Ovis aries: one gene and its partners. The protein of the gene in region 6 interacts with the protein of the main gene of each other region in a pairwise test. Links are inferred from orthologs where the notes say so. Each region holds a gene or a part of one and is shown on either strand. Other genes may lie near its edges.

Region 1 (4,154 bases), on a different chromosome or scaffold from region 6:
ACAGGAATCCCTGGAGACCCTGGTGCTTCACGATGCTGCTCCGGTGATTCTTGTACATAATCTGGTGTGTTCACCAATGATTTAAAGGGATCGTGGTCAGGGACGCCAAGAGAGTGGTGGTCACTTCCACTTCAAACCTTCAATGAGGGGGTGGGATGGAGAGAATGCTGAATCTTTTTTTTTTTTTTTTTTCATGGGATAGGATTTTTCTCTTTGTAATTATTTCTTTAGTTTAATTAACCTTTTGGTTGTTTGTGCAATATTATATATTTTAAATTATAATGTATCTCCCCAGAGTATTTTGTAGCTGGGATAAGAAAAAAGGAAAAAAAAAAAAAAAAGACTCTAACAGCTGTTAGTTTTGTAATTAAAAAAGAAAGAAAAAAGAACTTTGTCCTGAACCTTTTCCAGACTTGCCGTTAACAGCTATTAAAGAGATTCAACAGAAGCTGGAAGGTGTCTGGAGCTCTGTTCTTGTCCCTTACAGCAGCTGCCCCAGAGCCAGGGCAAGACAGGGTGTGCAGGGTGCCCTCCTGCTTGGAGCCTGGGGGAGGGGTCAGGATGGGAGGTAGTAGCCTGCGTTCCAAGGAGGTCCCTTGTCTTCATCCCAGACTCACCTTGGCCTTTGGGGTGAGGAAGGGACAGGGCCCCCAGAAGGCCTCTCACCAAGACAAGGAGTCAAGAGGCCGTTTCTGCATTCCCAACGCTTCTGCTTTTATTTGGAAAGGAAGGTGCAACAACAGTGGTTCCAACTGTTCTTGGTTATTTTTCTCTCCTCCCCCTGTATGTGTATGATTCTGGGGTCTATTTTTAAGTAACTTTAGTTAAACACCTGTATGAAAATCACTTGTCAGCCATAATAAAAGGGAAGTCTGAATGAGGCCCTCTGGTTCCATGAAGATCTTTAAAGGGAAAGAGAAGTAAAGCTGGGGAGGGTGTAGGTAAGTTTAGGATAAGTAGACTTAAAGTGTAAAATATAGATATCACCATCTTAGAAGCGGGTTTTTGGGTTTGCTTTCTCCCCCTACTTTATTGGGGAGGACTTGCCATTGCTTTTATGAAGTGCTTGCTAGCCATGGATGCCAACTAACTTCTTCAATTGAAGGCCGGAGAGTCATGTCTGGTTCCAGGAGCCGCTTGAGCAAGTCCTGGCATTCAGCCGAGATGCCCAGATGAGTGGGGAAGGACACCCCCTTCTGCTGCTGCCACAGCATCTTGGGGATGTCTGTGTCGTCAAAAGGCAGGCTGGCACAGAGCATGACGTGCAGGACCACGCCCATGCTCCAGATGTCACCCTTCGTGCTGTCATGCGGGATACCCTGCAGCACTTCGGGGGCGGCATAGGCGGTGCTGCCGCAGAAGGTCTGGCTCAACTCCCGGCGCGATTTGGGCAACACCTTGGCAAAGCCAAAGTCTGTCAGCTTCAGGCTGAAGCCCTGCAACAAGGCGTTCTCACACTTGAGGTCCCGGTGGGCCACACCACAGCCGTGGCAGTAGCGGATGGCCTCGACCATCTGACGGAAGAGGGCCTTGGCCCGGCTCTCAGGCAGTGGCCCCCCATTCAGCACACAGTCAAAGACATCCCCTCCTTCAGCCAGCTCCATCACCAGGTAGATTTTCCCGTCGGCAGACTCCAGCATCTCATACACTTGGATGATGTTCTTGTGGTCCAGGGTACGGACAATCTGGAGCTCCCGAGGCAGGAATCTCTGGATAAACTCTAAGGAAACAAAAGAGATGGAGAGTCAAGTCCAGAAGAGCCTAACTCCTCCCTCTGTCTCTCTGTCTTCCAACTTCTGTCTGCCCACCATGTCTGGGTTGTGGGCCTTGGTTCCCTTTAACAGCCTTCAGTGTCAAACCGCCTGGACACTGCAGAGCGTTCACTTCTGTCTTTGTAGTTAATATATTATTCAAAGGAACTAGTCCGTCAGCCTCAGGGACTGTTGTGAGCAGCCTGTGAGACCATGGATAGCAAAGTCCTGTGGGAACTTTTAGACAAATCTATTGAACTCAGTTATGAGGCCTGATCTGCCCACAGCGTGGTAAGCTAGCCCCTCTCACCTGTGCCCCCTGAGCTGCCGTTCTTTCCATGAGCCCTGTCTTTTCCCCATCTCTCTCCCTTGCATCGGTTCCTGCCCTCTGCTAGCCCTGGCCATGGCCTGACCAATCAGTTGACCTCCTAGAATAAGAAAGGCGTAGTAGGCTCTGACTCTGCTTCTGAGGGTCCTTCACTGCCTGCCATGGCAATCCACTCCAGTACTATTGCCTGGAAAATCCCATGGACAGAGGAGCCTGGCAGGCTACAGGCCAAGGGGTCTCAAAGAGTCGAACACGACTGAGCGACTTCACTCACTGCCTGCCACATTCATTTTGGACTTTCAGAAGGTGTGATTTTCCTAGACTTTCTCTGTTCCCCACTGACTGACCCCAGAGCCACAGCCTCTCTTGCTTTCTTTAGTTTAAGACTAAAGGGGAGGAGGGAATTGATCCTTCTGACTGGAGGAAGCACCCACCCACCTCAGCCAGCCCTCCCTTCCTCCAAAGGGGCCCCAGCTCACCTTCTGGCCCTCCCATCTTGTCTATAATTTTAATTGCCACTTTTCTTTGGTGTTTTTTGGAAACTGCTTCTTTGACTTTTGAGTAGGTCCCTTCCCCAATGGTCTTGCCCAGCTGGTACCCATTGGAGAGCAGAAAGTCCTCCATGCTGTCTAGCACCTCCTTCCTTCCTATCACCCTCTCAGCTCATGCTGCCTCTGCGAGGCAGCGCTACTCCACCATCGCCCTCGGCCCGCTTCTTTTCCCCCCAAGGACTTCATCCGCAGCCGCCCCCAGCGCTACAACATTCTCCGTCCGGACACAGGAGCCGCGGATGGTGGGGAGGGAGAGGGTCAGACATTTTAAAACTCTGGCCCAATTGTGATGTAAATGCTGTGTGACCCTGGGCCAAAATGGGCAATGCCCCTATCTGCCCTCACCACCACCACCACTACCACCGCAAAACCCAGCATGGGTTAAGTCACCTCCGTGCCCCGCCCCCGCGCCAGGCAGTGGGTCGTAGCCCCGCCTGTAGGGGTTGCTGCGATGTCTGCGCTCGGCCCGGGATGCCAGGCTCTGTTCCGTGGACGCCCCCATCGGGCAGCAGGGGGTCTGCGCGACCCATGGCCAGAGCCCTCCAGCTCCCGGCTCGCCACCGCGCTAAGTGCCCGGGCGGCGCGGGGTTCCCCGGCTGGAGGAACGGGTTCTGTGAGGTCAGCGCGCCGCGGCCCGGGTCACAATGCAGCCCGTCCCCTCGACGCCTGGGCCGGGACGCGCCGCAGACACCTGCCCGGCTCCGCCTGGACCGGAGCGTCCTCCCGCGGCCAGGGCTCGGGCAGCTGCTTCCAGCCTGGGACCGGCCTCGGCCTCCGGCAGGTGAGCAACGGCCCGGGGGGCGGGCGCGGGGAGGGGGCTCCCGGCCGCCCGGGAGCGGCCTGACCGCCACTCCCCGCGCAGAGCGCCCCGGGGCCTGGACATGAGTGCCCAGGAGCCCCCGCAGGGTCGGAGATTCCCCATTGAGGCCGGAGACTCCCCTGGCCTTGCCGCCGCCCCCGAGTCCCAGGACAGCCCGGAGCCGGTAGCTACGGAGCACAACCCGGTCAGGTGAGGCCAGCGCCCCTGCCCGCGGCCCCGCCCCTGCCCGCGGCCCCACCCCTGCCGGCTTTCCGTCCCCAGACCAACCCGCACCCGCGGCCGAACCCCTGGGACTGATGCGCCCCCTACAGGATGGGGCCGGCCGCCCCCTCAACGCCCCCCGTCGCGCCCCGCTTTCCGCAGGCCGCTTCGACGCTGCCCCGGCTGCCACTGCCTGACGCTGCTGCACGTGCCCATCGACGTCTACCTGGCCATGGGCGGGAGCCCCCGGGCCCGCGCCACCTGAGCGCGCCTGCGCAAGGCGGCTCCGCGGGAGCCGGGCGGGGACGGGGCCCGCCGCGGGCCACCACGCTGAGGTCGCGCGCGCGCCGAGCACGAGACAATGATGCACATTTTAAAATAAAAGAATGATGCACATTTTAATAAATCACAGCATAAACTGTTCTTTCCACTCCGGCTGGCCGTGTCTGTCTTATCCCGTCGGCTCGGGCCCGCCGGCTGCTCCGCCCCATCCAATATCACCT
Region 2 (3,500 bases), on a different chromosome or scaffold from region 6:
GGACCACTCTCAGAAGTCCTCCCGGGACCCCCCAGCCAGTGCCCCCGACCCCAGGCCACCGCTCTCTCACCAGGCGGGAAGCTCTTTCCTTGCTCCGCAGCCATGAGCTTGTGGTTAGGGGCGTAGGGGGGAGTGGGACTCCCGGACCAGGTCTCCACTGCGCTGTGGCTGGGCCGGCTGTTGTTCTGTCTGCAGAGGGGGTAGGCGGATGCACCCCGTGACGGGGGCTGCAGGGCCCTGACTGCTCGGAGCCGCTCTGACCAACTGTGGGGCTGAAACGTGCACAGAACTCCTGGGAGCCCCATCCCCTGAGCTGCACACAGTGGCCGCTGTCTCACAGAGGCGGCTGCCCGCGGGTGGGGCTGGGATCTGAACTCAGATCCTTTCTGGGAACCCAGACCCTGTGCCTGGGAGGTTCCGTTCCAGGTTCCAGGGCCTACGAGGCTGAGCCAGGCCCCCACCTCCCTGCGGCTCACAGCTGTCCCTTGCCCACCCTGCCTGCCTCCTGGTCCTGTGTTTAGAGGCCTCTGGGGTCGGGGCCTGGGTTTGCTAACAAGCCCCCTCTCCAAGAAAAGAAGCCGTAGGACTCAGTTGAGAGCGGGCATCTAACAGGACAAAAATCCATGATCCTGGCTCAGCCTGGCCCCACCCCACCCGCCACGCACACTGATGTGCAGAGACCAGGACCCCTGACACGCAGCTCACCAAACGCTGTGCCTGGCATGCAGTAGGGACCCAAGAAATGCCCAAACCCCCATGTGCAAAAATACTAGAAAAGTCACTGCGGACACACAAACACACACGCCCGTGTGCACGGCCGATACGCCTGGTGCCCAGCGTGGCCGCCGCTCGCTCTGGAATCTGCCTCCTGTGAACCTGAAAGCCCAGCATCCTCTCCCTCTGTGCCGAGGGGCTGACCACCCCCAATCCCCGGGGAGGAGAAAGGCTGGCAGAGTCTTGGGGGTGTCGGTCCTGGGACCTCTACAAACCAGCAGCAAATGAAACATGGCCCGCGGACTGTGAATGGGTGCAGCGGGGGTCCCCCAGGGACAGGCTGCTGGCTCGAATGCAGGTCATGCCGTCCCCAGGGCTGGGAACCAGGGTGGCTGGGGGCCCTGCAGCTGAGAGCTGAGACAGCTGAGGTTTGGGGACTGAGAGGTGGGGATGCGCAGGAAGCAGATGTATGTTCCCATCATCCCTACGTGAGATTTGGGGAGGGAGACAGGTGTAATGGCTGACACGTGGGGGGACAGCTGACTCGTGGGGGGACGGCTGACTTGTTGGGGGAAGGCAAAGCGCAGGGAATCAGCTCTAATAAGTGCAGCGCTCCATCTGATCTGTGACAGAAAGGAAGCTGCAGGTTTTTTAATCAAGATAGTGATGATAAAGGATGAAGGAAATCTATGTGATAGGAAATCCCCTTAACCTTGGAGACCCTCTGAATCACGAGACTGATCACGGATGCAGAGTCTAGGGCTTGGCTCCCAGGGACCCCAATCCCAGATGGTGTCACCAGGGCCCAGGACTCTGCGTCCTGCATTTCCCAGGGGACTGGGCTGCAGGCCCTCAGAGCAAACACGTTTTGTGAACAGCATCACCGAGCACCTCTGCAACCACAGTGGGTTGGGACGAACCCCCACCTAGGAGCAGCATCCTGCCGTGCCAGGAGACGCCAGGCTCAGTAAGCTCAGGCACCTGGCAGGTGCGCCCAGCTGTTCCTATGGCTTAAAAAAAATATTTATTTGGCTTCACCGGGTCTTAGTTGTGGCATGTGGGATCTAGTTTCCTGACCAGAGATCGAACCTGGGCCCCCCTGCATTGGGAGCGCAGAGTTGTAGCCACTGGACCCCCAGGGAAGCCCCTGTTAATGTGTCTTTACTTCTGCTTTGCCTCAGGCACGTCAGCTATTCAGGGAAGGAAGAGCACAGAAGAGCTGGTCTGAACTTGGGACAGCAAATGCCCCCCACGTGGCCCCTGGGGGCTGGGCCTGCCAGCCGGAAGGAGACTACTCCTCTCCGGACCCCAGGCTCATTGCCCCAAAAAGGGGGGACCCCAGGTGTTTTCCATGTTCTCAAGGACCCGCAAACAAGGCCTTAAATAATACTAACTAACCTCAGGAGAAAAACCACTCCATTTCACTGCTGTTCAGTCTTTCTGAGGTGGTGATTTGATGGTACGGTGTTTTCAATGCCCATCTACCATCTCACAGCCTCGAAACAAGCAGGGAGCAGGTCGAGGGGTCACCAACAGGGCTTATTTTTACAGTCATGGTATTTTTCATTCACAGCCTGAGATAACTTGTTTTCCAATGATGGTAATAACCACTGCAGTTTCCCAATTCCCCAGTTTTAAAAAATGAGCCCAACAGTGGAGCAGTTTCAGATCAACAACAACAACATGACAAGGTAGGTATACAACTGTCCCCACTTAACAGGTGGGGAAGTGGAGGCAGGAGAGAGGCAGCAGCTCGCCCAAGGCTGCCCAGCCCCCAGGCACACGCCCATCCCCGCCACGCAGCAGGCTGGCACAGCTCACTCCCATCCACGCACCGGATCTGGCTGGTCTGCTCTTCGATGGCCTCCACCGCGCTCTCCACCGAGCTCAGCAGGGACTGGATCTGATTGGCCGTCTCCTTCAGGAGGAAGCGCGTCACAAACTGGTCCACGTTGCTCCCGCCCTCGTACACCTGTGGAGGGAAGGGAGGGGGCACAGAGGGAAAGGGGTTGACGAGGGATCTGATACACCGACTTGGGGTCACCCTCCCAGGGCTCCTGCAGGAAGGCAGGGGCTATGGACTCAGAGCCCAAGGTTTGAGCCACAACAGAAATCACAGTGTCTACAATACTGCATTGAGGACGGAAAGGCAGAAGGTGAATGAAATGCTCAGCACTGTGCCTATCACATAGCAAACGCTCTGTGAACGGTAGCTGCTCTGATGAAGATGGTAACAGTGACGACAGTGCTGGCGAAGGCGATGGTGGTGGCGCTGGTGGTTCTAGTGACGACGCTGGTGGCCACTTCTGTTCAGCATAGTATTGGAAGTCTAGCCACAGCCACCAGACCAGGAAAAGAAAAGGTATCCAAAATGGAAGGGAAGGGGTAAAGCGGTCACTCTATGCAGACAACATGATACCCTATACAGAAAACCCTGAGGACTCCTACATCCAGGTCAAAAAGCAACAGCTAGAACCAAACATGGAACAACAGACTGGTTCACAATTGGGAGAGGAGTACTTCAAGGCTGTATATTTAATTTATTTAACCTGCCACCCTGCTTATTTAACTTGTATGCAGAGTACATCATGCAAAATGCCAGGCCAGATGAATCACAACCTGGAATCAAGACTGTGGGGACAAACATCAACCACCTTAGGTATGCAGATGATACCACTCTAGTGGCAGAAAGTGAAGAGGAACTAAAGAGTCTCTTACCGAAGGTGAAAGAGGAGAGTGAAAAAACTGGTTTAAAACTCATTCAAAAACCTAAGATCACAGCATCC
Region 3 (4,129 bases), on a different chromosome or scaffold from region 6:
TGGAGTAGGAAATGGCAACCCACTCCAATATTCTTGCCTGGAGAATCCCATCGACAGAGGAGCCTGGTGGGCTATAGTCCTTAGGGTCGCAAAGAGTCAGACACGACTGAGGGTGCATGCACAGTCACAGAGACGGGGTAGAGTGTGGTAACAAGAGTGGCAGGGGCTCTTCCTTCAACGCCTGGGAAAGCCCATTCGGTTACTGGTTATTGGGACCTGGAGAGATGGGAGAGACGGCGAGGGGAGGACCTACCTGCAGCAGAAGTTCCAGGCAGCCACAGAGTCTGTGCAGCTCAGCACTGGCATCTGTCACCGGCTGCCGCCCAGCCCCGTAGCCTTGAAGGATGGCAGAGACAGCAGCTGTGGGGAAGACAGTGGACGTCAGACTTCAGAGAGGAGTGGGGCTCTCCCCAAGTGCCGTCCCAGGGCTCTCTCTGGACACACTCACCCTTCAGGTCCCTGGTCATCTTGAGGACAGCTCCTTCTTTGGCCATGAGTATCTGAGGGACGTGATTCCTTATGGTCTAGAATACCGGCCTGGGAAAGAGCCTCCGGTTACAGCTGCCCAGCGCTCTCCTCATACAAAGGAAGAATCAGAGCCTAAAGAACAATGTGACGTCTCTGGGGTCACACGGCGAGTCCACTGGTAGGAGAAAACCCCAGCTCCTTCTTTCGGGGCAAGGCAGGAGGAGGATGGTGGGGTTTCCCCACCCTCCCAGGGAGCTGTTCCTGGGAGGGAAGTACTGTGCCCTTGCCTGACACCCTTGTCTCATTCAGTCCCCACAGTAACCCTGGGAGGTTATCAACTCCATTTTATACAAGGAGAGGGGGGCTCAGACAGGGTGTTCTATCCAAAGTCACCAAACTCTAAGGGATGAAGCTAGAATTTGAACTCAGGTCCCTGTGCCTGCAGAGCCCATGCCCTCAACCCTGACTGACCATGAGCAGTCCTAAGGGCTCATGTGTGCAAGCCATGTGGACGCTGGGCTGAGGGGGTGAGGTCCTGTTCCCCACAGGGGGCCTTGCCCGAACAGTCATCATCCTTGGGACACACATTCATCCTTTCCTGGGCCCCAGCTGAGTGGAAAATGTATGTTCTTTGAGGAAAAGGAGGCAGGAGGCAGAAGCAAGGCAAGGCCACAGAGTGGGGGGTTGGGCTAGAATGCTGGGGTGTGGGGTGTGAGGAGCAGGGTTTTAATCCTGCTGCTCTCTCCCCAGGGAATCTCAGCCTGTTTTCCCCACACACAGTGGATCCTGGGGCTCAGAAAGGAAAGACGTGGCCCCTAGGGCCCATGGGCTTATTCTTTGAGCCTGAAGTAAAGGCAGGCACAGGGTGGGAAAGCCAGGTGTCCGGCCTCTCACGCTGTGGTGGCTGGAATTTGGGGGTGAGTGGGAGTGAAGGAGCGCTGGGACGCAGAGAAGGGGAAGGGAAAACGAAGCGAAGGGAAGGTGAGGGAGGCTCAGGGGATGGTATTCAGGGAGCACGGTGCTGAGAATCAAGAGCCCTGCTCCTCCAACCTGGCACTGCTGCGAGCTCACTGTGTGACCTCGGGCACATCCTTCACTTTTCATGGGCCTGGATGTCCCCACCTGTAGACCAAGGGGTTGGATGGAGGGTCTCTGCAGCTCCTTTTAGCCCAGATGGTCTCTGGAATCCACCAACACCTAGCTGGACCGCCTCCTCTTCCTCATTTCTATCCAGGATTCCTCTGCCCTTGCTCCTGGCATCACTCCCTTTATCCGACCACCCCGAGACCCAGGGGTCTCCTTGCTACTCACCCGGAAAGGCCTGGCTCTTTGGGGCATGGAAAGCTGGAGCACTGCAGCCTCAGCCTGTTATCTGTGACTGAGCGCTCTGTACAGCCTCTCCCAGAGTTTGCTGCCTGGGAAGTGACTCATGCCCAGTCCAGCACCCTGGAGGAAGGGGAAATATTGGTCAGAGCAGGAGGAACGGAAGACTGTACACAGGAGAGAAGTGGTAGAGGCAGGGCACCAGGGCAGATGCTGAGATGGGAGACGGTTCCTCTTAGGCAGAACAGGGGCAGATTCACTAGTTGGCCCAGCAGAGATGGGGACCCAGAGGTAGAGGCAACTGCTGCTTTGCGAGTGCTTTGCACGTTCTTTCCGCTTCTCATCAAGGTCACTTGCTCTTGTCTTTCTTCCTTATCGCCACCAGGTGGCACAAAGAGGCTACGATGCTGCCCCCAAGATCGCCGCCGGTCTTCACTGTCACTTTGAGTGTGGTACAGGTGGGGAGAGAACAAGGGTCCCACCACATGTCTCCCTTCTCTTCCCCGTTACTGCTGACCACCGGTGCCATCTCCCCAGTTCTGGGAATCACCCCAGAAACGTCGAAAGTGAAAGCACTCGTGAAAGGCTGTATCCAGGAACGGGCTGGGTGGATTGCCCAGGTGGGCTGGGACTCTCCCACCCTGGCTAGGGCTCTGCCTCCCTGAGGCTGGGGTTCTTCCCCCGTGGGGTCCCCAGCAGCCAGTACTGAGCGCAGGGAACAGAGCAGCAGGCCCCTGCGAGGACAACCCACTTTACCCACCCCCGCCCTAGGAGCCGCGCGTAAGCCCTGGCGCGCACGCGGTACCCAAGCTCGGCTCCGTCCTTCGGTGGGGACTTCCTGCCGGTCTCTTCTTCGGGACTTGGTCTCCCGCGTGCAGAGGCTGCGTCCCCCCTCTCCGTCCCCCGTGTCCCCGTCTCTCCCTGATTCTCTCTCCTTATCTGCTTCCTGCCTCTCCCGTCGCGCCCGCCCGCGCTGTCTCTCTCCCGGCGGGTCTGCCGCCCGGGTCCCGAGACCCCGCGTGCCCCTCCCCGCGCCACCGCGCCCTCGGGTCTCCCTCCTCACTGGCTGCGTCCGGGCGCCGGTGTCACCGCCCCTCGCCCGGCCCCGCGCTCCCCCGCTTCCTGGCACTGCGGGCCAAGGAGGCTCCGGGCGGGGACGGGCTGGGGGCGTCGCTGGTCCCCTCCCGACGCCCTGGGCCGAGCGGTGGCCAGGGAGAGCGGCGGGCGGGCGCCCGGCCGGATGGGCTGCACGGTGAGCTTGGTGTGCTGCGAGGCGCTGGAGCCCGGGCCCCGCTGCGGCCCCCAGCCCCCGGGGAGCCCCCCGGCCCCCGCGCCGTGGGAGTACCGAGAGCCCCCGGGCTCAGTCCGAGCCCAGAGCAGGCGGCTGCTGCTTCAGGTAGGGCGCTGTGCGGATAGGTGGCGGGCACAGCCTGGCTCAGCTGAGACAGGTAAAAAGCCCCGCGGGGAAAGCACCCAACGTGGGTGAGGGCGCGCTGGAGCCCCGACCAGGGGAGGGGGCAGCGTGTTAGGTCTCCTCTGGCTGTCTTGTGACCCCGGGAGAAGGGTGATGTAGGACCTGACCCTTAAAAGGGCAAAAAGTTCAGGCGAGATTTTAGGAGCCACCCAAGAGAGGCAGGGCTGGGCTTGCTGGGAAAGGCACTGAAAGAATGAATTTTCCCCGAGCTAGTCCAGCAGTTGACTGTGTGTCCCCACCTGTAGCTGGACTGTTGTCTCTGACCAGGGCTCCATAGTCAGGAGCGAGGGGGCCTTCTGAGTCAGGGAGGGTCTAGTTAGAGCCAGGACTGACATGAGATGGTGGGGGAGCTGGACTCTCACCTCTGCACTCTCTGTTCTGGGTAAGTCTTAGAGCCTTGCAAATGGGAAGCTGACCCAGGTAGGTGAGAATAGGCCAGTGCAGGGAAGCAGGTGTTTGTCCTGGATGAGGCCTCTGTCCCCTGAACTAGCAAGCTTGGTGTAGGTGTGGGCACTGGATTTCTCCAAGGAGGAGGAGGGATACTTGGGGTCACCGGGGACTAGACAACCTTGCTGTAGGCTTCCCGCACAATCCCAGTCTACCTCCCTGTTTTGAAGGCTGCAGCCTCCTAAGTTTCATTTGCTGTATGGGGTTTGGATTATGCTGGTGTCTTTTGTCCCTCCACCTAGGGGTCACAGAGTTTGGGCAACTCAGAATGTATGGTGTGGGTAGTCCCTGCTCCCTTATCCCCCTTTTTTGAGGCAACCAGCGAGGCCAGGTGTGTACATGTGCACATGTGTGTGTGTGTGCACCGAAGTGACTCCTCTGCCTCACTTGACTGGATGCCCCTCCAGGTCACAGATC
Region 4 (4,198 bases), on a different chromosome or scaffold from region 6:
AATAGACACACAAAAATTTACTAAAGGCTGAATGATGACATGGATGTGAGAGTTGGACCATAAAGAAAGCTAAGTGCCAAAAATTGATGCTTTTGAACTGTGGTGTTGGAGAAGACTCCTGAGAGTTCCTTGGACTGCAAGGAGATCCAACCAGTCAATCCTAAAGGAAAGCAGTCCTGAATATTCATTGGAAGGACTGATGCTGAAGCTGAAGCTCCAGTACTTTGACCACCTGATGCAAAGAACTGACTCATTTGAAAAGACCCTGATGGTGAAAGACTGAAGGCAGGAGAAGGGGATGACAGAGGATGAGATGGTTGGATGGCATCACTGACTCAATGGATATGAGTTTGAGCAAGCTCAGGGAGTCGGTGCTAGACAGGGAAGTCTAGCGTGCTGCAGTCCATGTGGTTGCAGAGTCAGACACAACTAAGCCAGTGAACTGAACTGAATGATTATAAATTCATAAACATTCATGTATTTACACTAAAGAGTGTGATGAAAACAGTTTTGAATGTTTTCTGTAAGCACATACTTTTCTTAAAAAACTTAAGAATAATGAATGCATACTTCATGCAATAATATCTAGAGGAATGTTCAGCATATGCTGGTAATTGTTACTTCTAGGTGGTAGTATTTAAAATTACTTTTACTTTCTTCTTTTTACTTTACTGCTTGTTTGTTTGTTTGTTTACCTAATGCTGCTTTTATAGTTTTTTAAAATCAACTTTCAATTTGAAAAACAAAAATCTATCATTCCCTAACACCAAACTGCAAATGTCTCATTTATTTAAGAGACTATCAGCCTCAAACTCTGCAAGGGCCAAATGTTGGCTATGCTCTTAGCCAAGAGCACAGCATTAATTCCATGGGTTTCCTGACAGTTCACCCACATCAGCTGTTAGATCAATCTAACTGAACAGTGCTGTAGGGGTACCATTTCCCTCACAGAAGACAAGATCTTGGCGGGAATTCCCCAGCAGTCCAGTAGTTAAGGGGCTTCCCAGGAGGCTCAGTGGTAAAAAAATCCGCCTGCCAATGCAGAAGATGTGGGTTCAATCCCTGGGTAGGGAAGATCCCCACAATAGGAAATGGCAACCCACACCAGTATTCTTGCCAGGAAATCCCATGGACAGAGGAGCCTGGTGGGGCACAGCCCATGGAGTGGATAGGGTCAGACACCATTGAGCGACTGAGCATGTACCAGTGGTTGAGACTCTGGGCTTTCAACGCCAGGGCCTCAAGTTGGATCCCTGGTTAGGAGACTAAAATCCCATAAGCTGCAGGCTGTGGCCAAAAAAAAAAAAAAAAGATCTTGGCCAGAAGAGAGTAAGGATGCACATAAAAGGCTATGACAAAAAGAAAAGAGTAAGGCAGTTGTCCTAAAATAGGAAGTTATTTGAAGGGATCAAAGAGATTTGTTTGGAGCAGCAGTTCTCAGTGTAGCTGTCCAGTTAAGTCTGGACTAGGGGCCTCTAAGACACTTTCAGAGTCTGTACAGTGAAAATTATTTTAGTAACAATACCAAGATTTTAGTTGCCTTTTTCACTCTCATTCTTTCACAGGCAGAGTGGAGTTTTCGAGAGGCTACCTGTCACACTGAATGCAAAAGCACTCCATTCCTAATGAGAATTCCATTACGCCAGACATTAAAGAGATCTGCAAAAATATAAAACATTTGGTACTATTCTATTTTTTGTTTGCTTAGGAAAATAGTGATTTTTTTTTTTTCATAAAGTTTCAACATGTAATGGGCTTTTGTTTGTGAAAGAAAGTCGCTCAGTCGTTATCTGACGCTTTGCGACCCCCATGGACTTATCCAGGCCAGAATACCGGAGTGGGTAGCCGTTCCCTTTGCCAGGGGATCTTCCCAACCCAGGTGTCGAACCCAGGTCTCTCGCATTGCAGGAGGATTCTTTACCTGCTGAACCACAAGGGAAGCCCTTTCTTTTTAAAAGTCCTGTTTTAATTTCTAACATGTCCAATATCAATAAATTTAACCTATATAAATAAAAGGTCTTTGAGGTTCTCAATAATTTTAGGAGAGTTAAGGCGTCCTGCGATCAAAGTTTCAGAACAGCTAGTTTGGAGGAACCAAGTTTCCGGAGGAGGGACCTGGCAAATTCCCTAGCACCTGCCATGCCAGCCGATCCTGTTGCAGCTTGGGGCAGCCAAGCTTAGCCACTTCGGAGCGGTGTGGCTTTAGGGACAACCCCTATCCCCGCCGCAGCAGCTATAGGTTATTAAGCGGTCCCTCCAGGTCAAACACTGATCCAGCGCTGCCGTGAGAGGGTACCAGTATCCTCGTGTGGCAATGGGAAACGCGAGGCTGAAAGTTAACCAATTTGAACACGGTCGCACGACGAGAGGTGGGGGCGCCGGGATTCGAACCTACACACCTATCTGGCTCCAGAGCCGGGCCACTCTCGCCATCAGCCCCTCAGATTTCACATGTTTAAAGCCGAATAACAGATTACGCCTCACAGTGGGGTGTTTGTGAGGAGCAGGAGAAAGTACTTCCAGGGAAATCGCGATTAATCCACGGGCCAGAACCCCCGCCCGACCCGGCCCGACCCGCACCCCGCGGCAAAGTCGGCCACCGCCCCACCCCGCCACCTTCCGCACCCGCCTTCCCGGATGGTATCCGCGCCCGCTTCCGCTCGGAGGAGGCCCCCTGCCTCTTCATGCTCCACGCGTTCGTCCCTCGTGCTTCTTCGGTTTCCACTCAAAGAGTCCGGGTTCCAACGCGCGCGACCAGACAGGCGCGTCCTCCCAGCTGCGCGCATCCCGGCGCGTCCCCGACGTCCACGCCCCAGCAGCCCCCGCGAAAGCCCAGAAACTGGCGCAGGCGCAGTCACTGCTCGCTCCGACCTTCCGAAGAGGAGGAGCTCGTTTGTGTGACCCGGAAGTGCTTCTTCAGTCGGTGCGGAGAAAGGAGACCAGAGAGCGCAGGAGTTTGAAGGTGGCCGTTGGGCACTGTTTATAGCATGCAGCGATTACTCTTTACGCCCTTGACGGCCTTGCTGGGGAGCCCGTGTCTCCGGCTTCTGGTTCCTAGGGTGGCGCCTGGAACACAGGTAGGGCAGAGCACCGAGTCGCGCAGGCGAGCATGGGGTGAAAGGGGCAAGAGATATCCTCACATATCACGTTTCTCTAGCTCCTTGAAGTTCACAAGGCATTTCACTGTGTCTAGGGCTCCTGAGTCCGGATCCGGACCCACCACTTACTAGCTGTGTGCTCTTAGCCAAGTTGAGCCTCAATGTACTCGTCTGCAAAATGGGAATAATAGCACTTCATAAGTGTTGTGTTAGTATACACAGAGGTTTAGCACATAGTAAAAGCTCAGTGATTTTTACCCATATGTTTGATTTCTGCTCAAAGCTACTGGGTAGTCAGGTTAGGGATTGTAACTCCATTCTACAGAGAAGTAACTTGAGGCTTAATTTGTCTAAAGTTACTTAGTTAACTGGGCTTCGCAGGTGGCTCAGTGGTAAAGAATACACCTGCCAATGCAGAAGAGTCAGGAGACTCAGATTTGATCCCTGAGTCAGGGAAGCAAGATAAAATATCAAGTCTCCTGCCCTAGAGGAAGTCACAGTTCATTTGTTTGTAACTCATTTGTCAAATCTTTATTAAGGTCTTGTTGTGTAAAGGAACTGTGTATGAAACGAAGTTTGTAGAAGCCAGACTGACCAGACACTGCTGTCCTATAGCTCATAGCTTAGTGGGAGGTAGAGACAACCTCTGTGTACTAAATGATACATTGCTGTGTGATGGACAGGTATAGTGTGCTGGGAGAGTGACCCAGCACATATGTAGGGGCGTCTGGGAATACTTCCTAGAGGAGGTGACATCCCAGCTGAGATCTGTGATAGGTCAGTCAGGGGACAAGTAGAACCCCAGTTAGAGAAAAATCATATAAAAGAAAGGAAATAATCCTTATTTAATCCATATTTAGGTGTAGAGTTAAGTCTGGGAGAAATATGAGAGACAGAAGGTTCATGTAGTGTGGGGATGGATTGGAGGCAGGCAAACCAGTTGGGGGTAGATGCAGCCCAGATAAGAGATGATGTTTTACCTGGACAGTAGCAGTGGAAATATGACCAGGGTACTTCATACCAGACACAATGAGACTGTGTGAGTAGCAGTGGAGTGAAGCCTTTTCTTCTTTCTCCAGTTGTAATTTGTCTGTCTTGAT
Region 5 (4,070 bases), on a different chromosome or scaffold from region 6:
CTTGTCAGGCTACCTGTTCAGCCTGCTGAGGGTCTTCCCTAGGCTGCCCACTCCCCACCACATCTCTCTCCACAAGGTGTATATATTTCTGCATAGACAGTAGACAGATCTCCCAGGCTTGATCATTATAAAGGTAGGGGCCATCAGTTCTACAAAATCCACCCCCCTTCTCCTTATTTATTCTGATTTCTCCACCTTCGCTGCTTGCTGTTGATAGTGCTTTTGTGTAGCCAGTCCTCTCTTCCCAGGCTCTATGGGGTTCCTTGTAGCAGCCAGGAGCTGTTCCATTCCCTGAGTTTGGGGGGGAGTGTGGAAGTACTATTTGTCTGTCCCGCTTAGCTGGCGTTATTATTTTATTTTTTGGTGATGTGCTAACAATAAGACGTACACTGGGGTTTATTCCTTTGGCCTAAGAAGGAAGGGATCTACATGGCAGGTGGGATGGGTGTGATCACGGGGTTTGGGACCTGTTCCTGTCGGGAGTACCTGGCAGGAGCCCTGGGGTGCTCGTGGTTTCCTTCCGAATAAAATAAAGACGGGTCGCCATGCTTGGGCTTCTTGTCACTCATTTCTGCGCTGGGCACAAGGAAGGGAGGATGCACTTGGCTGACGGCCGAGAGAGGAGGCCCGAGGATGGAGGGATGGAGGCTGCTTTTCCAGGGACCAAGCGGAGGCCGAGAGGGTTGTTTGCTAGCTGGGTTTCCCCCGGCCCCCGCCTCAGCGACTAGGGGAGGGCGGGGGCCGTCAGCGCCCGGGAGAGGGAGGCGGGGGAGACGGCCACGACAATAGTCGCCCCCACGTCCCTAGGGGCCCGCCTCGGGCTGCTGCAGCAGCGCGCGCCCAGCCGGCGGGGCCGCGCCGAGCTTCCCGGGGCGGGGCGCGCGCGGCTCCTGCGCACGGATCCCTGGCGGACCTCAGCACCGTCTGCCAGGCCGCGCCGCCCCGCCCCGCCCCGCCCCGCCCCGCCCCGCCCCGCCTCACCGCCCTCTTTTCTAGGCCCTCGGCAAAGCGGCGCGGCCCGCCGAGTGGCGCGAGTGCTAGAGCCCGGGCTCCAGCAACCCTCCCCGGGAGGCAAGCGGGGACAGCAGGGGCCCCCGGTCGGCGCGGCGGCGGAGGGGAGGGGCCGGGACTCTTTGACGTGGCGGAGGGGTTGAGCGGCACGGTTGAGCCGCCATCTTTGGTCCACTGCGGCGGCGGCGGCGGCTGCGGCGGCGGCGGCGGCTGTGGCGGAGGAGGAGGAGCCGACGGGCGCTGACACCGAGGCCTGACCATGGACGAGGAATACGATGTGATCGTGCTGGGAACCGGACTCACCGTAAGTGCGGCCGCCGGTGTCCAGGGCGCCGCCTGTCCTCCTCCCTGGGATGCTGCAGCCCCCGGCCCCATCCTCCCATCAGTGCCTGCGCGGCGCTGTTCGGTCCCCGAAAAGATAGCCCCGTCCCCAACCACCGTGACGCGGCCTCCATCCCTGTCATGGCCGGTCTGCCAAGAAGCGGCCCCTTTTCTGGCTGTCTCTCTTGACCGATTCCCCGGGCCCGACCCCCAGCCCCTACCCAGGACCAACTTAACATCCCTTCTCATTTTGCGCTCATTCTGACGGGGATGTCGTGGTACAGGGACCTCCAGTCAGATCGGGGCGGGGGGACTTCCCAGGGTGGGCTTTCATCCTGCCTTCCCAGGTTCTTAGGGGGCCCGAGGACCCAGGGAATGTTCCAGAAGGAGCCGTGGTGGGGACCGTGACCACATTCCCACTACCCCACCCCGGTTTCCCATGGAGACCTCGGGGCTGAGGCGCATTTGCAGCCTTTGTCCTTGGGCTGGTGACAGTGACTGGTGAGGTTGTTTGCCCTCCCCCGAACCCTGTTGGACTGCTGCCCTGAGAGATGCCTCCCCAACAGTCGGGTGTGGAAGCCCCTACTGTGACGGGGAAAGCTCAGGGTCAGGGGTTCCTCTTTGAGGAAAGTGGCCCAGGGTGGGGCCTGGGATTTCGGCACCATGCTAAGCCTTTACTTCCTTTTCGGGTCCTTTGCTTGTCCAGCTAGGCGATCCCTGTGTTTTATTTGCCTTTTTGTGGGCTTCTACGTCGATAGATGATTTTCTTGGCATCTTGGTTGCTTGAAGACCATCCATGTGTCTGCTGGATACCCTCTTCCTTGTTCACCTTTTTGCCCAGCAAGGTTTTAAAAGGAAACCATGGTCAAATGAAGGTGTCCCCCCCCCCCCCCAATTTCAGGCAGAGCGACCAGCCACAGGTGCAAGGAGCTGTGTGTTGAGGCAGAGGCCCTTCAGGTTGACTCTCCCCTCAGGGTTGGAGTGGGGAACATGGTCAGGGCTGCTTGTGGGAATGTGGGCAGATGGGAGTGCAGTGAACATTGCCCCTCACTCAGGAATGTATCCTGTCGGGTATCATGTCTGTGAACGGGAAGAAGGTGCTGCACATGGACCGGAACCCCTACTATGGGGGTGAGAGCTCCTCCATCACCCCCCTGGAGGAGGTAGGCTGCTCTGGGCCCAGGCCTGTCCCTCGTTAACCTCTTGCATGGGGTGCTGAATGAAGCAGCTCCCCAGGTTTTCTGGGTGGGGGGCGGGGGCAGGGGCGGGAGTGGGAGGGGGTTCCTTGAGATGCATCTTTCTGTCTCTCTTTTCCCTTCTGCTGCCTGCAGCTGTATAAGCGTTTTCAGTTGCTGGAGGGGCCCCCTGAGACAATGGGCCGGGGCCGAGACTGGAACGTTGACTTGATCCCCAAATTCCTCATGGCCAATGGTGAGGGAGACGGAGGAGGTATTGTGGGAGGCGGGGTGATTGGGACGAGCAGAGAAGGGTCAGACTGCAGACCAGGGACAGACAGACCAGCTTGAGCTTGTGAAGGGAGCCATGCTGACTGTGTTGCCTTTCCCACACCGCCCTGCAGGGCAGCTTGTGAAGATGCTACTGTATACAGAGGTGACACGCTACCTGGACTTCAAGGTGGTGGAGGGCAGCTTTGTCTACAAGGGGGGCAAGATCTACAAAGTACCATCTACCGAGACTGAAGCCTTGGCTTCCAGTGAGTGTGGGTCCCATGAGCCAGGGAATCGGGGTGGGGGAAGGGGGGATAGCTATCAAGAGCAGGATGGCCCTTGCTGCAGGCCATGTTTCTTGTGCAGTACCAAAAGCCCCTTGCTCTATCATCCCCCTGTGTGCACCCACTGGTTGCCAGGAGAGGTGTCCAAGTGCGAAGGGAATATGGTGTCCTGGACAGAGGCTTCACCTGATCAGTGAAACATCCCCAAGTGTCAGAGCTGGGAATGCTCTCAGAGGCTGTCCAGCCAGACTCACTCTTGGTACAGTTGAGAAAACAGGCCAATGAGCACAGAGGGGTTAATTGAAAATCACACAGTGGTCAGCAAGAGAACTCTGCTGGGAGTTAGGGCACCGGCTTGCTCTGCCTGCCTGGCAGGTGGAGAGGGTCACGGCCCGTACCTCAGTGGTGCTTTGCATGTGGCCCTCACAGACCTGATGGGCATGTTTGAGAAACGGCGCTTCCGCAAGTTCCTGGTGTTCGTGGCAAACTTTGATGAGAACGACCCCAAGACCTTTGAGGGTGTCGACCCCCAGAACACCAGCATGCGTGACGTCTACCGGAAGTTCGACTTGGGGCAGGATGTCATTGACTTCACTGGCCATGCCCTAGCGCTCTACCGCACTGATGAGTGAGGGGAAACTGGCATGGCAGATGACCCTTCAGCCGGCCCACACCCTGCCCTCCCACTCCTGCCTGCTGCTCCCTTGGCTCACCCTGCCTACCTCCCATACTCAGCTCCGGGCTCACTCACCTGTCGCCTTTTCTGTCCCTTCCTTGTGTTTGACCAATGGTCTTTCCCAGGCCTGCAAGGGTGGGAAGGCTGGCCTGATGCCAGGGTGGGGGTGCACTGGGCCTTCTGCTCTTGGAGCCTCTTCTGACCCTATTTCTCCCAGCTACCTGGACCAGCCATGTCTCGAGACCATCAACCGCATCAAGTTGTACAGCGAATCCCTGGCTCGGTATGGAAAGAGCCCGTATCTGTACCCACTCTATGGCCTTGGCGAGC
Region 6 (4,018 bases):
CAGCCACTTGACTTATCTGATGATGGGCTTTCTGCCAGAACCAAGGAAGTGGAAGCACTGAATGCCCCTTGCCTTGTCCAAAAGTCTGCAGGATACCTAAGGGCCAGTTCTCCAATGTCCATCTGGAACATGGATTGTGCAGGGGACCCCATGTTCTTTTGAGACTTGGCCTAAAGTACTGATAGTAACCACCACTGACTACTGTGTACCTTCTAAGGGTCAGAAACTGGGATAGATGCTTCACAGGTTCTTTTTATAATCATTCCAATGGTTCTCCTTGTTAAGTAAATTGTCCCCATCTTATAAATAAGGAAGTAAGGCTTGGGAAGACTTAGTAACAGCCTCAACATTATGGGTTGAATTGTATCCCCCCAAATTCATATGCTGAAGTCCCATGTCTCAGAATGTGGCTGGATTTGGAGATAGGGCCCTGAGAGAGGTGACTGAGTTAAAGACAGGCCTTGAGGGTAGACTCTAATCCAACTAATGACTGGCTCTCTTAAGAAGATGAAATTTGGACATACAGAGAGAGACGCTCTCCTTAAAGAGGAATGACCACATGAGGACACAGCAAAAAGGTGGCCAGCTGCAAGCCAAGGTGAATGGCCTCACCCTGATGTTGGACTTCGGGCTCCAGAACGACGACAAAATACATTTCTGTTGTTCAAGCCATGCAGGCTGTGGTACTGTTACGGCAGTCCCAGCAGCCTAACAGGTGGAGGCATCTAGGGGAGGATGAAGTCAGTGTTCAACATCAAATCAGTGCAATTCTGTTCTCTGCCACCTTCCTACACATGGCCTCTGCTGTGTAACTTCTCCCCACCTCCCCCAACAGGCTGCCCAAAACCTCCATCCAGAATCTCCCAGACTGAGTGGATCCCTCCTCTGCGATCCCACAGCCCTTACCACACTGCATACATTGATAGTGGCACACAAGGGACTCATGATCTTGTGATCAAATTGAGGGTAGGGCTCCTCTTATCTTTATCTCTGGCATCTCCCATGGAGCCAGTTAGCATGTATTGAACACGTGCGCCAGTCAGGACTTCATACGTGTTATCTCATTTATACTTTAAAACAACTCCTTAAGGTAGGTATCACCGATTGTTCCCATTTTACATGTCAAAAAACTGAGGTCAGAGGTGTTACCTGAATTAGCCCAGACATAAAGCTGAAGCTCCAATACTTTGGTCACCTAATGCAAAGAGCCAACTCATTGGAAAAGACCCTGATGCTGGGAAAGATTAAAGACAGGAGGAGAAGGGGGCAACAGAGGATGAGATGGTTGGATGGCATCAATGACTCAATGCACTTGAGTTTGAGCAAACTCCAGGAGATAGTGAAGGACAGGGAAGCCTGGTGTGCTGCAGTCCACGGGGTCACAAACAGTCGGACACGACTTAGTGGCTGAACAACAGCAACAACAGAGCTAGTAGGTGGTGGAACCAGGATTCACCATTGGATGGTCTAATTCTTCAGGCTGTGCTCTTCTCCTCCTGCCCTGCTGCTGTGGTCTTGCTATAAATGTACACTCCCTCCCTACTCGAGGGCTGTGCTGATCTGAAACCGCTCCTTCAGCATGCTAAGCCCAAGTGTGAAGCTCCCCTCCCATGGAGAGCTTTCTCACTCATAGCCCTCCCCCAGCCCCCACTCTGCCTCCTTCAGCACCCTCTGGGCATAGGGTCTACATCTTGCACTGATGTGTGACCCAGAACTGGGCGCTGGGGCCACCGCTTATCAATATCTGTTGAACTGGCTTCAGTGTCCAGGGATGGATGTGAATAAGGATACACGACACAGTGGGGTATTGTCCTGGATACTGTGACTCTCCGTTTCTGGATCCTCTCATCAGACCATTTGCTGGAATATGCGACAGACAGGGTAGTCTGTCATTTGCTTTAGAAAGTAGAGTCCCCATTCTACTGGAAAGAGGCAGGAATGGAGACAAGGTGAGCTGTCTGTCACTTTCCTACACACTGCTGGGCAGGTCACAATTTCTCTGCACCTAAGTGCCTCTGTGGGTAAAACAGTAACGGAAATGCCTATTGTCTACGACAGAAATGGGACAAAACACGTGAATGTGTTTTGAATACTGATAAAGAATAATGTTATAGAAACCCAGTCACCATTAATGGGATTACTTACATTTTAACTGACCAGTTTGGCCAGTGAAAAATGAAATCAAAAAGTAGTTTTTATTTTTGAAAGTCAAGGAAGTGGTATCCTTGAACATAAAGACAGTAAATGTCCTGAGGCCTTTCTAGAGTGTTGAAAGTATTTCTAGGTTCTCCTTAACAAGTGTGTGTATGTGTGTGTGTGTGTGTGCCCTTAACAAGTTCTCCTTAACAAGTGTGTGTGTGTGCCTGTGTGCCTCTGTGTGTGTGTGTGTGTGTGTGTGTGTGTGGTGTATGGCAGGAGTGGGGTCGGGGCTGGGCTCGGAGAGTCAGGACAAAGTTTTCTCCAATTGCCTGAGACGCAACCCTCTGGAGGTGGCAGGCCGCTTACCTTTGCTGCATTGCGGATCAGTTTTCAGCTGTGTGAGGCCTCCGGGTGAAGTCCATTTGGGAACTGAGTTTTTCTGACTCAGCAGTAGCCTGGGAAAATTTCCCTTCTCTTTCCTGTGCCCTGTCTTCCAGACACGCATGAGATCCACTCCACCTTGGACTCAATCAGTGCATCCCCTGCCCCTGCTGCAGGCTCTGCACAGAACTGAGCCATAACCCCGAGAGCAGCCTCTGGGGAGCTTCCAGGGAGAGTGGCTACCACTGAGCAGCCACTCAAGAGCATCAGCGATGTGTCTGTTCTGGTCTGGATGGGCTGAGTCTCCCTCTAACTTCCTTCTGCTCTTGGCCAGAGCCAGGGTCCTTTTGTTCACCTTTAGGGCTGCCAAGTCAGGCCTACCGCACCCCTGGATGTTGTTTTCCTGCAGGCAATGGGAAAATGAGCTTGGAGCCAGGGAAGGGAAATCAACAAGGAAATAAACACAGGGTCATTACCCCTCCAGGTCATCACCAGGCTGGGACATCATCACGCTGGGATCACTTTCTAAAGAGGCAGGAGCTGGCCGCTGCCTGAAGGGGCCCCAGGCATTTTTTAATTGCCCCAGGCATTTAAAAAATTTTAAATATGCAAAGAAGTGTGCATTTCTATCAGAAGTGTGAAATCTATGTTGGACCAATCAAGCAATCCTGACTCGCTCCAATGCCTTGCCAAATCTTTCAAAGATTTTTCCATAGGCAGCATCTCTTGTAACCAAACACTGGCAAATGTTTGTAGCCAAAGGAAAAGAATGAGCAAGTTTATGGCTGACACAAGCCGAGACTTTTAAAGACACAGGTAAGACTTTCAAGACATCCTCTAAAGATACAAGATTATTGTTTGAATAAAGTTTTCTTCTACTTACTCTTCAATGTCATGGTCATCATCAGTGGCATCATCTTTGCCAGCATTTATTGAGAGCTTATCATCTGCCAGGTGCTGTGCTAATGACCTCAACCTGTGTTATTTCATTTAATTCTCAACATAATTCTATCATCCTCATTCCCATTTTGTAGATGAAGAAAATAAGGATTGGAGAGATTAAGTTACTCCTGCACAGTGACCCCACTAGTTAAAAATGTAGAAATTGCCCTTCTGGAAGGATGCTCTTCTGAGTCTTGCTTTTCCCAACAGTCAGCTTAAGCACTTCGGTGGGCTGACAGCTCCTGTGATGGCCAAAGAGTTGCTTAAACAAACTCTTAGGCCTGGGAATAGAATTCTAAACAGAACCACGGCTCATCGGTTAGTTAAATGACCTCTTCCAGGAGTTACGAAGTGATGCTACCTTTATGTGACTCGTACATAGGACTCACCTAGCACGGCACCCTCTCTTCTTCTCCAAGGGGGTGCTGCTGGCTGCTTTCACCCAGTTCTCCACTGTGATTCTGACTGACCCAGAAGGAAGGGCCCTGTAAATCTCTTGGCCTCTGTGTGTGCTTCAGTTATGGTCTGATCACGCAAATTTGTCGTTTTGACTCTA
Region 7 (4,201 bases), on a different chromosome or scaffold from region 6:
AGCCTTCCTGGAGTTGTGAGCATAGCAGTTGTGGCCTGTGACTCATAATAAGTACAAGGAGAAGGACAGTAACCCAGTAAGAGGGAAACTGACAATGGGTTTGCGTCATGAAAAGGCGACCCCTCCACTCACACAGGAGGGAGCCCTGCGTCACACTCACCCAGCAGGGCAGCCACTATGCCCACCAGCCCTGTGCCAGCACCCAGCTCCACAGCAGAGCAGCCCCTGAGTTCCACAGTGCCCATCTCCAGATACGTGGCAAGAACGACAGCCTGAGTCAAAACACAGTATGACAGTTAAGGTCAATAAGCGCTTTAGGATTTCCAGCAGGCTCCATGCTCCAGGAAGTTACCACACACCCCCTCCCACTGCAAAGCTCAACTCCCAGGTTAACAGCACCCATGGGAACTCAGCTGCTGCTGGTAGGGTCACCTAGAGCAAACATGGATACCAAGTCCCACGGCCCAGCTGCCCCCAGCCCCACCAGAGGCCCTTGGGGCAGTCAGTGATTCTGCCCATCCAAGGCCGGGTCCTGCTGAATCTGGGAAGGTTAACTTCTGTGTCACAGCACTCTGACACTCAAGGTTTACAAACCCATTCTGGCAGAGCTGACATGAACAGTCTCTGTGATTTGGCTTAAGGAATGTCCAGTTCCTAAACCGAGTTCAAATCAGCAAGGCCACAACCAAAGGGGACAAGCAGAGCCCCACCAAGTCTCTCGGAGCTGCATCCCTCTCTCCTGCTCTCCTGAGCCCCTAACACTCATCACCCCACAGCGACCGGACATCAAGGGGTAAGTTTCAGATGAAGGGTTGGACTTGATATGTGAGTTAGCATTTGCAAACAACTCTAAAAATCAATGTATGCTCTTAACATCACTTTAATTTTTCATGGCCACATACTATTAGTATACCAAGCAATTCCTCTTCTCAGTGAGAATGAAGGAGACTCATCCATTCCTCACTATTCTGTATCTTTATTACTCTTTCTGAGAAAACTTTTCTTGTTACCTTGGACTAGATTCCTAGAAGTAGTACTACTGGGTTACAGATATATCAATATTTTGTATCCCTGAATGTTTCTGACACCCCCAATACAATGTTAAGATTGTAAAACTGTATCTATGCCAATCATTTATCCAGCATTGGCTGAATCCTGAGTTCCCACTGAATCCCAGGTGTGGCTAGAGGCTGAGGGCAAGTCTGCTACAAGCAGTTGAAAGAACAAGGCTGGGGAGAGGAAAAAGTAACCATTATAGTGTCGTTTTTTGATCATGACAACTATGGAAAACTTAAAGAAAACACATGATCCTCCTGTGGGGCTTTGTCAGTTACATTTCCTTTGTGCAGTGTTAAACTAGTGTCCAAAGCAGCTAGGGACTCCAGTGGCAAGTCATTTGATTTCTCTCAGCTTTCTTTACTCACCCTTAAAATGCAATCTGTTTGGTGAGGTGGGGTGCAGGAAAATGATCTAATGGGTAGAGGTTTTCTGGGGATGGGGTGTGGTGATGCAATGTTTTAAAACTGAGCATAGTGGTACTTGCACCACTTTGTGAATTTACTTTAAAAAAAAAAACTTAAACTGCAAAGTACAGTATATAAATTACAACCCAACAAAGCTGTTAACTTTTCAAAAATAAGAGCACTCTTATCATCAATTGCTGATATTTTCAGAGACGTCCGGCGATCACTTACCGCGTCCCAAACCACCGCTGCGACTCCCAGTTGCTTCCAGTCCTGACGGATCTGTATCGTGTGGTTTGCAAAGGAGAAGGTGGCCAGAGGCTTGTGGAATCTCTGCAGCCCCATCTCCGCGGTCTCCACATAGGGCACCAGGGCCATCTCGCCCCCGGCCAGCTCTCTGCTCCCTCCAAGCTGTAGGGCAAAAGAATCTTGAGTGAGGCTCTAGGTAGAAAATGCACGACCTCTTTAGTAGCTCCAAATGCTCAAAGCCAATTGTTACAAGTTCAAAAGAAGAAAGAGTTGAGGCGAAGTCTCTAATCCCTTTTGCACGGCCCTCCTGGGAAGTGAGATTTCGCTCTGAACTCAAGCCAAAGGTGCTGGATGCCCTATACCCTCAGCGGTAACCACTCAGTGAATTCGCAGCGCGATGAGTGAGCGAAGTGGAGGTGACAGCTCAGGACGCGGAGAAAGTAGCGCTTTCTAAACCGCCTGGGCCCGCGTGGACGGCGGCTTGCAACCCGCCGCGGTCGGCGGGGCATCTATTGTTTTGTGTTGGTCTCCCCTCGCTCCCTCTCGCTCGGTGAGTTCAATGGGGACCACCACGGACTCGAACCTGAACTTCAACCTGGGGTTAACGTTGTGATTATCCTGGTTTATGGTACCGGCTGGATATACACGGTCTACGCAGATCCATTTCCTGGAGACTGAAAGTGAAAGACACTCGGGCATTCTGAATCTCTCGCGGGGAGCGGGACCCTGGGTCCGGCATGGAGTCGCCCCCCTCCGCGGCTGGGAGCCCTCCCCGGAGTCGCCCGCCCCCCAACCCCAAACAGGGGCGGCGGACAGAGACGCACGTCCTTCCGCCGGGCCCCGGGGCTACGGGCAGCTGCGGCGTAGGGGCGGGAGCCTGGAGAGGGGCCGCCCGCTCGGCCCGGCCTCACCCCGCCCCGGGAGCGCCGGAACCTCCCCGCCGGGGGCGCGGCCAGCGCCCCGGGAGCCCGGCGGGCCACGCACTGGGGCCCGCGGCACGGCCTGGCCTCTACTTACGGCTCCGGAGACGGCCTCGCGAGGCGCGCGCGCTGCTCTCCCCGCCCCCAAGGTCGCCGGCGGAAATGACCGGCTTTAAAGGGCCAGAGCCCGGGTAGACCGCCGCGCCGGGCCGGGAGGGGGCGGGTGGCCGGCGCTGGGCCACCCGTTTCCGGTCCCCCGCCCTCCCAGAACACGCGATCCCCGAGCGCCAGCGACGCGGAGCGGCGGGTGCAGTGGGGACCAGCGCGGGGATGGCGGGGCGGAGGCGGGGGCGGGGCGGGGTTCCCGCTGCGTGTGTCCGCAAGGTATCCGCACCCGCAAGTCAGTTTCTCTGGCCGCCGAGGGTGGAGCTCGTGGGGATCCACGCTGTCTAAATCGGGGAGTTCTATAACGACCACTGCAGGCTCGATCCTGAACTTAAACTGGGCGGACTCGATCCTGAACTTAAATACTAGGCATTAACAGTATGATTATTCCGCTTTACGATACCCTCTGTTATTACTGCCCCGCCATCATCTCCAGTATTAGATACAAGTGACATTCGCAAAGAACCAATGAATATCTACAACCTTAATGCCATGCTCCGGGACTAAATCAAACATCTGCAGAAAGCCGTGGACCGGTCCTTGCAACTGTCTCGTCAAGGAGCTGCAGACCCCGTGATCGATAAAGACAAGAAAGCCCTAATGAAAGAGATCCTCAGGTTCAAGTCCCTACTGAGCACCAAACGGGAGCAGATCGCCACACTGAGGGCGGTGCTGAGAGCCAACAAACAGGTGATCTCATTCTACTGGTGAGCTATGCTAGCCAACACTTTATGCCTAAATGTTTTCAGTGTCCACTACCATCAGGATGGGAGAAGGAAATGCCAACCCACTCCAGTATTCTTGCCTGGAGAATTCCATGGACAGAAGCGCCTGGCGGGCTATAGTCCTTGGGGTCACAAAGAGTCGGGCACGACTAAGTGACTAACACTACTACACTACTGGATATACACCGCTGCAGAAGCGGGGGCGCGGAGGGCATGGGTGCCACCGCGGCCGGGGACCGCGAAGCCACCCGCCTGGCACTGGAGAGGCGGCGGGTCTGCCTGCCAGTCTGTGTGCTAGTTCTCGCGCTCGCGCTTTTGTGTGTGTGTGTGGTCTTAAAATTTGTGCGCTTGCGGGTTTTTAGTTTTAAGGGTGGTCAGTTAGCGGGTGTAGGAGAAAATTCGCCCCTAAGAATACGTGGTCAGCCATCCACCACCCATCACCCATTCACCATCTCACCCAGGTGAAGTCCGAGTTAGTGAATTCGCGTGCTCCGTGGCTGCGCAGTGGGAAACGCGACAAAGCCCTTCTCGGAGCCCGCACGCGGCACCCTGGCCGGGGTTGTTGCTAGCGCCGTCAGCCGGGATCCTGTCTCCTTCCTTCCCCGGCCGAAAGGTCAGCGCACCTGCCCTGGGGGCACCCGTTCTTGAGACGAAAGCTGCTCAGAGTGTGGCATCTGGT

Evidence for each region.
Region 1: the proteins of LNX1 (region 6) and TSSK3 interact in binary tests that used the Homo sapiens proteins (3 or more experiments, as listed by UniProt). The link is inferred for Ovis aries from reciprocal best matches to the Homo sapiens genes LNX1 and TSSK3.
Region 2: the proteins of LNX1 (region 6) and NECAB2 interact in binary tests that used the Homo sapiens proteins (3 or more experiments, as listed by UniProt). The link is inferred for Ovis aries from reciprocal best matches to the Homo sapiens genes LNX1 and NECAB2.
Region 3: the proteins of LNX1 (region 6) and RUFY4 interact in binary tests that used the Homo sapiens proteins (3 or more experiments, as listed by UniProt). The two-hybrid records come from large-scale screens. The link is inferred for Ovis aries from reciprocal best matches to the Homo sapiens genes LNX1 and RUFY4.
Region 4: the proteins of LNX1 (region 6) and CUTC interact in a two-hybrid assay, tested with the Homo sapiens proteins (3 studies listed by BioGRID and IntAct). The link is inferred for Ovis aries from reciprocal best matches to the Homo sapiens genes LNX1 and CUTC.
Region 5: the proteins of LNX1 (region 6) and GDI1 interact in binary tests that used the Homo sapiens proteins (3 or more experiments, as listed by UniProt). The two-hybrid records come from large-scale screens. The link is inferred for Ovis aries from reciprocal best matches to the Homo sapiens genes LNX1 and GDI1.
Region 7: the proteins of LNX1 (region 6) and METTL21A interact in binary tests that used the Homo sapiens proteins (3 or more experiments, as listed by UniProt). The link is inferred for Ovis aries from reciprocal best matches to the Homo sapiens genes LNX1 and METTL21A.

The regions. Positions count from the first base shown.
Region 1 is NC_056055.1:235,204,024-235,208,177, forward strand, and holds TSSK3 (testis-specific serine/threonine-protein kinase 3), read right to left. Parts: upstream 2,801-4,154; 5' UTR 2,704-2,800; coding exon 2,559-2,703; intron 1,721-2,558; coding exon 1,056-1,720; 3' UTR 144-1,055; downstream 1-143. Other genes in the region: protein FAM229A, read left to right, coding at 3,275-3,411, 3,493-3,639, 3,814-3,916. UniProt on the Homo sapiens protein: Serine/threonine protein kinase required for spermatid development and male fertility.
Region 2 is NC_056067.1:9,859,298-9,862,797, reverse strand, and holds part of NECAB2 (N-terminal EF-hand calcium-binding protein 2), read right to left. Parts: intron 2,687-3,500; coding exon 2,550-2,686; intron 190-2,549; coding exon 71-189; intron 1-70. UniProt on the Homo sapiens protein: May act as a signaling scaffold protein that senses intracellular calcium.
Region 3 is NC_056055.1:220,159,876-220,164,004, reverse strand, and holds the start of RUFY4 (RUN and FYVE domain-containing protein 4), read right to left. Parts: upstream 2,801-4,129; 5' UTR 1,780-2,800; intron 601-1,779; exon of another isoform or gene 538-600; 5' UTR 495-537; coding exon 449-494; intron 361-448; coding exon 254-360; intron 1-253. Other genes in the region: TNS1 (tensin-1), read left to right, coding at 3,032-3,187. UniProt on the Homo sapiens protein: ARL8 effector that promotes the coupling of endolysosomes to dynein-dynactin for retrograde transport along microtubules. Acts by binding both GTP-bound ARL8 and dynein-dynactin.
Region 4 is NC_056075.1:20,477,539-20,481,736, reverse strand, and holds the start of CUTC (copper homeostasis protein cutC homolog), read right to left. Parts: upstream 2,801-4,198; 5' UTR 2,687-2,800; coding exon 2,626-2,686; intron 1-2,625. Other genes in the region: cytochrome c oxidase assembly protein COX15 homolog, read left to right, coding at 2,988-3,077. UniProt on the Homo sapiens protein: May play a role in copper homeostasis. Can bind one Cu(1+) per subunit.
Region 5 is NC_056080.1:80,001,185-80,005,254, reverse strand, and holds the start of GDI1 (rab GDP dissociation inhibitor alpha), read left to right. Parts: upstream 1-1,270; coding exon 1,271-1,315; intron 1,316-2,387; coding exon 2,388-2,495; intron 2,496-2,663; coding exon 2,664-2,763; intron 2,764-2,911; coding exon 2,912-3,046; intron 3,047-3,493; coding exon 3,494-3,692; intron 3,693-3,957; coding exon 3,958-4,070. UniProt on the Homo sapiens protein: Regulates the GDP/GTP exchange reaction of most Rab proteins by inhibiting the dissociation of GDP from them, and the subsequent binding of GTP to them. Promotes the dissociation of GDP-bound Rab proteins from the membrane and inhibits their activation.
Region 6 is NC_056059.1:69,874,314-69,878,331, forward strand, and holds the start of LNX1 (E3 ubiquitin-protein ligase LNX), read right to left. Parts: upstream 2,801-4,018; 5' UTR 2,506-2,800; intron 1-2,505.
Region 7 is NC_056055.1:209,711,281-209,715,481, forward strand, and holds the start of METTL21A (protein N-lysine methyltransferase METTL21A), read right to left. Parts: upstream 2,801-4,201; 5' UTR 2,697-2,800; exon of another isoform or gene 2,537-2,696; intron 2,493-2,536; exon of another isoform or gene 2,387-2,492; 5' UTR 2,296-2,386; intron 1,875-2,295; 5' UTR 1,842-1,874; coding exon 1,695-1,841; intron 273-1,694; coding exon 161-272; intron 1-160. UniProt on the Homo sapiens protein: Protein-lysine methyltransferase that selectively trimethylates residues in heat shock protein 70 (HSP70) family members. Contributes to the in vivo trimethylation of Lys residues in HSPA1 and HSPA8.